Linked DNA regions of Arabidopsis thaliana. The protein of the gene in region 2 interacts with the protein of the main gene of each other region in a pairwise test. Each region holds a gene or a part of one and is shown on either strand. Other genes may lie near its edges.

What was found.
Region 1: the proteins of AT5G66440 (region 2) and AT2G30020 interact in a protein complementation assay, tested with the Arabidopsis thaliana proteins (one large-scale study listed by BioGRID).

What each region holds. Positions count from the first base shown.
Region 1 is NC_003071.7:12,812,151-12,816,862, reverse strand, and holds AT2G30020 (Protein phosphatase 2C family protein), read right to left. Parts: upstream 2,593-4,712; 5' UTR 2,427-2,592; coding exon 1,923-2,426; intron 1,646-1,922; coding exon 959-1,645; 3' UTR 503-958; downstream 1-502. UniProt on the Arabidopsis thaliana protein: Protein phosphatase that negatively regulates defense respones. Inactivates MPK4 and MPK6 MAP kinases involved in stress and defense signaling.
Region 2 is NC_003076.8:26,529,103-26,533,001, forward strand, and holds AT5G66440 (tRNA-methyltransferase non-catalytic subunit trm6MTase subunit), read right to left. Parts: upstream 2,075-3,899; 5' UTR 1,931-2,074; coding exon 1,172-1,930; 3' UTR 817-1,171; downstream 1-816.

The DNA.
Region 1 (4,712 bases), on a different chromosome or scaffold from region 2:
TTATCACCGCACATATTTGTTTTTGCTTGTTTCTTATATGTACATAAAATGTATATGTTCAATTTAATTTGCACATCATTTCACTCTTGTTAATATGTAATTCATCGAAAATTATGGTTCTTAATCCATGTCAACATTGTCACAATTAACAACATTGTTAGGATATATATGTCAACCACAGCCAAAATTCTAAGTGGTTTGTATTGGTCTCAATGTCTAACCAGACTGAATGTGAAAAACACGAAAATGAATAGATTTAACGAGATTTTAACTAGTAGACAAAATAAAAACATATCTTACGTTTGCATGAAAACAGATTGAGAATTTGAGATCCAAGACCAAAACTAATTAAACTACACATGTGAACAAATAATATATTTTGGGCTATTCGGGTTTGTGTCCGGCCCAATGGTTTATGTTAGCCTGTCAAACTTGAGGACTTTGTTTGTTTTTCTCCTTTTTCCTAAGAAAACTCTCTTTATGGTTGAACTTGTTTTCTCGATCAACTTCTCTTGTACCTTCGTTCCACTTTAAAACAATATTGGCCGTGTGACTCTTTGACCAGGATCACTTGTCATGTCGATTTCTTTCACGTTGCATCTCAATATGAACTTCATGTATGTTGGAGTTGTGAATTGAAATTCATCAAAACAAGGAATCTTTGATTCAGATTGAGTCAATCTCTTCCAAGCACTGTGTTGGTATTGTACTGTAGAGAAATTTGCAGGATCTTGAAACATATGACAAGATATATAACGAACCGATTATTAGATTAATTTCGGCCAATGCTCGAATCATACAAGTAATCATAAGCCACAATGAGTTTAGCTTTGTTCACTAAGTTAGAAAGAATAAATAAATGAATGGATCAAGTTAAACAAAAGAACTAAATCATATAAAACCTCCAAATTTCTAACGTTTATCATATATCTAAAATCTTCTAAGATGCCTCTCTTTTCTATATGAACTGGCGTAAAGGGATCAACATCACACTGATATCATCAGACGAGCCTCGTGAAGCAGATAAATCGACAAGCTTCTTACAGGCAGCTAACAACAATGGCTTCTCGGTTCCTAAGCAGAGAGGACGAGCAATGTCTACTGCTTCTTGGTTACTCACTTTATCCCATAAACCATCAGATGCCAAGATCAAAAACTCATGGTCATGCTCGATTCTCGAAATCTTTGTCTCTGGTTCAGCTATAACCCATTTCTTAAGTTGAGCATCTCCAATTCCTCTTGACACAGCTAAAGATCCCTGGATTCTCCAAACACCGTGAAACGTATCAACATATCCTCCCGTGGTTTCAATTCTTTTCCGTTCATCGTCTCTAGACGGGCGGTGATCAGAAGATAAAGCCTTAGCTACACCTCCTACACTCATAACAGCACGACAGTCACCGGCGTTAGACACAACAAGGTTCCCTTCGTTAACCAGAGCCGTGACACAGCATGAACCACCCTTAACGTCTTCCTCCTTAAGAAACGACGCGTCTGTTGCCAAGTAACCATGTTTCACCGCTTCAGCTATCTCAGACTCGTCTCTCTTACCAACTACTTCTTCTACAATGTTCTTATCTAAGTTCTTAGCTGCAAACTCAGCCGCTTTAACTCCTCCATGACCATCATAGACTCCGAAAATCGCCTGAGAAATTATCACAAAGCAAAACAACGTTTAGAATACACGATTCATCAATAAGCACACAATTGTTTCATATGATTCTGTAAAACTTCTAATTCTATTCAGAATTTCAATTTTCCCCAAAGAACCCTAATTTTAGATAGCTTATTAACCCAATCAATGTAGATCTCACATGATAAACCCTAATTTGAGCTGTAATTGCTAATCAATCGAATCAAAATCACCAATTCAATTCAATTCTAAACCAAAACTGAAAAATGAATTTGAAATTTAAAATTACCTGTTTACGATCTCCATGAAGATTGGTGATAGCAGAGAAACGATCCTCCATAGCTTCTCTTCTTCCTCTCTTACAATAAACAGAATAACCATCACCTTCTCTCTCAACCTCTCTACACTCCTCTCTCGGCGTCGCAGCCACAGCGGCCGATGAAGAAATCGGAGCTACAAATCCAGCAACACCAATCGGTATATCAAGCCTTGTAGGTCGTTTCCTCTTTAAAACACCTCCCGGAGGAGAGGATGCAGAAACAGATTCAGATCCAAAAGATAATGGACCAGGAGCGAATCCGGACGGAGGTTTCTGGAAACGGAGACGAAATGGAGATTTAGGAGAAGAAACGGTGGTGGATGGAGAGGAAGGAGAAGAGGTCTGAGGTTTGCGATGAGAAAGCGTTAGAGAAAGAGATTCTTGCGGTGACGAGAGAATCGAAGATTTGTTGCAGAATAGAGAAGACGACGGTGAAAACACCGGAGAATTACATACGGCGACGGAGCAAGACATCGTTTCTATATTTTGATTTCGATTTCGATGAGTAGAGATTTGTTTTTGCTGAGATTATTGTTTTTGTTTCTTCTCCTTCTGTTTTTTTTTTGTTGTGACGATGTACAGAGAGAGAAGAAGAAGGTTTTTAAATATAAAGGAAAGAAGAAGGTAATGAATATTGAATGAATTAGAGTCCGTGTTTATCGAGCTTTATTCAAAGTTTTTCAGTCTCTTTGACTTTGTAAATAACATTTATGCCCTTACAACTTTCATTTCCTTTATTTATGTTGTCCTTTTACTTTCTACAAAATGGATATTATTTTGAGGAAAACAAAATTAGCTTGAATCCTACTCTTGTTGACCAGTTTTTTTTTGTTGGCAAAATAAAGGAAAATATCATTTTTTCTTAATAATGAAAAATGTATATATCCATGAGATTTTTTATTCCAATATTTTTTCATAACCAAAATAAGAATCATTCAATTTTTGGTAACTTTATGTCAATTTAATAATAAAAACAAATTATGTCTAGTAGACTAGAACTATCATAAACAAAAAGAGGAGTATTGCAAATAAGAAGAAAGGCCCTTTGTAACGTAGAATAAAATTCAATAAAACACAGCAGATAGTACAAAAGAGAATGTTGGAGGGTAAAACGGTCATTCACAGTCTAAAATAGCTAAAACGATGAAGTAAGCGATTTATTGGGTTTGCTCTGTGAGGTTAAAACAGACATTTCAAATGAAGTCAAAAACACGTCTAAAAGGAAACGAATGCTAATAATTGGGCATGTGGGTAACGTATCTGTGTTAAAGAAGTGTTTCATTGATGACTCACTTTTTTTTTCTTCTCCTTTTTAAATTAAATGAAAAATAGAATCTTAAAGAATTTAAAACGACCGTTAGGTTCTATACGTCGTCGTTTTCATTGGATGAGTATTTTTGCTTGTCGTAGTCGCAGCTTCTAAGCAAGTGACCGTTGAGAGCCTGAAGAGGAGCCTTCGTTTTGTTTGTTTCCATTTGATGACCGTTGTGAATTTGTCAAAAAGTCTAATACATAAAGTTGTAATTGATCTCGTTTCACACGAGGTCTTCTTATTATTAAAATACAAGTCTTCTTCTTATTAAGAGAGTGTTAATTTTTTGAGTAATTTGTGACATCATTAACTGATAGTTTTGTCTTTTAAACGGTATTTGATATTCTAGAGTTGAAAAGGAATTGCAATGTTCTAGAGTTGAAGAAAAATCCATTAGAAAGTTTTTGTTAATGTTGTGAATTGTGATAGGGATGAATAGTAAACAAAGAAAAATCAGTTTTTGCAATATTATAAGACCAAAATTTCCTTATTAATAAGTATTTGCATATGATAAGACCAAAAATTTTACGTCTTATTATATTGTCATGCGATTAATGTTCCACTATTAAGCACTTTTAGAGAATGTTTTTCCGTTTGAGGCAGTTTATAGGAAATAGACACTTTTTCTATTAATTCTTTTTTTTTAAAGACTTTTTTACCCTCAATTCAATATTTATGTTTTTAATTCTTAATTTCTCTTTTTTGTTATTCCTCTTCCACGATCCTTACCCAAAATAAATAAAATCTCTCTCTCTCTCTCTCCATGATTTGTAGCGCCTCTCTCTCTCTCTCTCCACGTCTCCATAACTTTTGGAGAAGTTTCTTAAACAATTTGATCTCGATTATCTCAGGAATTTGGTAAAAGTTCTATGTCCATAAGGTATTGGAGGTGGGGTCTCTGCAAATTGTAAGAAAAATCAACAAACAATTTTTTGGTGTCCATAATAACGAGTCCATTTAAATATATCCATTCAGAAAACCTTTTACTGATTCATATTCATTCTATATACCATGTCCATATAACAGGAGATTCGATTAACCGTGGTTTGTAAAGAAACCAAAGTTCCATGTCCATAAGGTCTTGGAAGTGGAGGTCTCTTCAAACTGAAAGAAAAATCAACAAACAATGTTTTGGTGTCCATAATAACGAATCCATTTAAATATATCCATTCAAAAACCTTTCTACTTATCTATATTCATTCTATATACCATGTCAATAATAACAGGAGATTCGATTAACCGTGTTTTGTAAAGAAACCAAAGTTCCATGTCCATAAGGTTTTGAAGGTAGAGGTCTCTGCAAACCGAAAGAAAAATCAACAAACAATGGTTTGGTGTCCATAATAACGAGTCCATTTAAATATATCCATTCGGAAACCTTTTTACTGTTCTATATCCATTTTGTATATCATGTCCATAATAACAGGAAATTCGATTAACCGGAATCT
Region 2 (3,899 bases):
GAAACACGGCCGCTTCAGCAAATTAATATTACTTCTTTAATGATTTTTTATTAAAACAATTAATCTTATAATTGAAGGCTACAAGATCATTGAGATGACTGACTTACTAGACCATCAATCATTCCCGTGAAGCATTAGAAATGAAGCTTCCTTCAATTTTAAAATAATGGTACAAAATCAAGCATTCTCTTTCCAATTGTCTCCAATCCCATTATAAACATTCACTATTAATCAATTTCATTTACATAATATTTCTTTTTTTAAAAAAAATTATGTAACCACACCATGTGTATTGGTGTGTGCATGTGTCTACCTACGGTCTACTTCGGATTTGAATTTGATACACGCTTATAATTTATTATTCTTCTGGATATTGCATCTAATCTATAGATTTAATGTACAAATCTCCACGCTTGAAATCCATGAGTCTGACTGAGTACATTCTTGCATAGTTAATTATTGCAGGCATGAGACTTAGTCGGTGTAAAAGTCCAAAACGCCATTATGAGCGAAACTGAAGAAAGATGACTAGATTAAGTCTTTTTTGTATATAAGGATTTTGTCATCTACCAAATAGAAAGATACAGTAAATACTAAATAGGCATACAAAATATAATTGACAAAGTGATTGGCTCGTGTTTAGTTAAGAAGCTTGAAACCAAATTTCCGAAGGATGTAGGGATTCTAGGGTTTGGAACATCCTAGGTTAAAGTCTGGATTGCCTTCTGGAAATTGTAGGTAGCTCTAGTATTAGTTTATTAATGCTATTGATTTTTACTTTTTTATAAAAGTAACCGGAAGATCTCATGGCAAGAGAAAAAGACAGACCCAAATCGATTGTTTCTTGGATATCACTAAAGCTTATTAAAAAGGTTTTTTTGGTAATGTCATAATTTTGAGTGTGGCGAGACAACATTTCTACTCTAAGTCTGTATCATTAAAACTGAGGAAGTGACACTCACTTGAGACAAGTAGATTACATATCTTTCTTAATACATAAGCAACTAAAATTACTGTACATAGAGATGATATTTATACTACATACATGGAATATTTTTATAAAAAAACAAGATTCCATAATGGTTAACTTTCACAAAACTTTGTTTGTTTGTTGTTTGATTCGATTTATATTAGAATTTGATGCTTTTTTGATATAGATATAAAAAGATATTTAGGCTATGTTATGGACAACGACGGCTAAAGATTCTTGACGACGAAACATCCTCTGTTTTGCTATGAAAGCTTCTATCGTTTTCTGAAACTCTTCGTTGCTCAGATCATCCTCTGGATAGTTCTTCTCCTCCTCAGAGTCATCATCGTTCTCAGTTTCTTTGCAGAACTTCTCTGTCTCCGATCTCTGAAGAGAACGTTTCATCATCATCATCACCATGTTTGAACTCTGTTTTCCAGACACGTCTGATTTGCTTCTTCCATAGACCTTACTATGGGGACTCGAATCTGAGTCAATCTCGACGTGAGGCATATTCTCATCCACCGTTAGATTCGGATTTGAATCCAAATCAGTAACGATCACCTGTTTGTCGTCGTAGACAATCCCCTCCGTCAAATCTTCATCGGACGGTTTGGAACGATTCTCTACAGATCTGACGAACGCCTGGTAGATTTCGGTTTCTGCGCTTGCGACGGCGGTGGTTGTCTGATCGGAAGACTTGGTGAGAAGAACAACGACGATGGAGTTCCCGAGGAGGAAAACGAACAGAGGAGTAGATATGACGGCGGCGATACGGCGGAGAAACGCTCCGGAGATTTGAACGACGAAAGGAAGTTGCGAAAATGTCCAAAAGATGAAGAGTAGAGCGACGCAAACCTCCGCCGCACGGAAGAAACGGCCAATTCTACAGAAGCGGTTGAAACGCCGCAACGCCTTGGCTTTCTCTGCTTTCACGTTATCGAAATCAAACGAATCCATTGCGATTTGCGAGTGCAAGAACAGAGAGAAAGAGAAAGATTGAGAAAAGAAGAAGAAGAAAAAGTGGAGCAAGCTTCGTCTCTCGCATCTATCTTTTATAGACACACTCCACTCCTAAACCAGACTCACTTTTTTTTTTTTTTTCCTTCAAATAATTGAACTTTTTCTTTTATTTATGGTTAATATATCTAAGTTAGATATACATATTCCATTTATTATTCCTCATGTAGACACCACTTGTGCCCCTGCTATATTATATATTATATCCATTTCAATATTCCAAAATAAATTCAAAATTAGCAGTAATTTACTAATTTTTGTAAAGTTTAGTGTAATTTTTTTATGTAATCAAATCAATAGAATAAAATTCAAAAAAGTCAATTAAATTTTGCAAGGGTATAGTAGCATATCATTTTTTAAACTTTGTGTAAAAAGTATCAAAACCATTTTTACCAAAACAAAGTAGCATGAACCATACTTGTATACAAATGGAGTATAGCTGAACAATACTCTTCTATAATTTAAGGAAACAAATTTGATATAGTTTGTTGTTTGTTTGGGTCAATTTTGTCAGTGAGCTCATTATATATTTATTTGGGTGATACCTTAATACCAGTTTAGTAGTTTTTATCCAGATTTAGATAGACGAGTAATTGCTAATCAAACATTGCATAAGCGAATGAGTACTCCATTTCAAACAGAATCTGTAGACTTTGTTTGCTATAGAAATTTAAAGTTAGACTGATTCACAAGTTTCAACAACTCGTTATTATTATACAGCTGTTTTATCAAATAAATAAAATTGTAAAAAAAAAAACCAAAAATATTTGGACCGAGCAAAATTGTAAAAAAAAAGTGATGTAACAGAGAATCAATTTTTATTTATATTTTTGTTCTTTCACGTGAGACGTATGGGATCCGTATAACCACCGCTCTTCGAGTGTACCACTTCGTATTTGCTTAACTCTCTCTGTTTCATTCTCGTGCATTTCACCGTTTATATTTTCTTACTTTTTCTTACTGTAATTAATGCAAACTCTTTTTATCCAATTAACCGAAACTATAAGCCTATATCTTAATATTTGACATCCCTAATTTATTTTTCATAACAATAATGATAAATGAGCGGGTGGAAATTATGGTTTATTAACAACATACACTCTAATTATAATTCTCGACAAAGAAACAATATTAACTACTTAATTATAAGATGTATTCAATGAGGAGTAATATGGGTCGGTGTCTTGGTGGGTGTGGGTCATCAGACATTTGACTGGATCGGAGAAAAACACAAAAATTAGAGTTCAACGCGACGTTACAACTATGAAACTTAATTGAGAAATTGACAAAAACAAAACTGGAGTTATAAAACCTGACCCTTATATTATTATAACATGAAACAGATTAAGTTTTTTTTTTATATATATTTTTGATTTCTTCTTATGATTGTTGTAACGTGAATAGATAAGTTATAATAAAAATGTGAATAAATTAAGATTTCTTTTATGATTGTTGAAATGAATGGCAAGTGAGACACTCACACTACTTGTTGACTCTCTCATTCATTCCCTTTTCGACTAAATAACGATATCTCGGCCGGACTGATTATATATATAAAGTAAATAAAAATTATTGAATCCAACCAAAAAATAAATAAATTATTGAATGGACAATAGTTTTCTTATAAAGATACTCGTGGCCAAAAGATCATGACAAAGAATTTCGAATGGTGTTAATTAGTACTAGTAGTCAATTCGACAAAGTTATAAGAAAAAGAGGGTTAATTAATCGATAATACAGGCTGGTTCGACCCATGCATAACATATCATATTTCCTCTGCTTCCTTTATAAATTGTTCTCTTTAAAACTATGCGCATGTAATACCATTCTTAAGCATCATTCTTATATCCGCAGACGCATACCTGCACGCATGCGTAGATTTGTACGTATTAGTATCAATTAAAAGTTA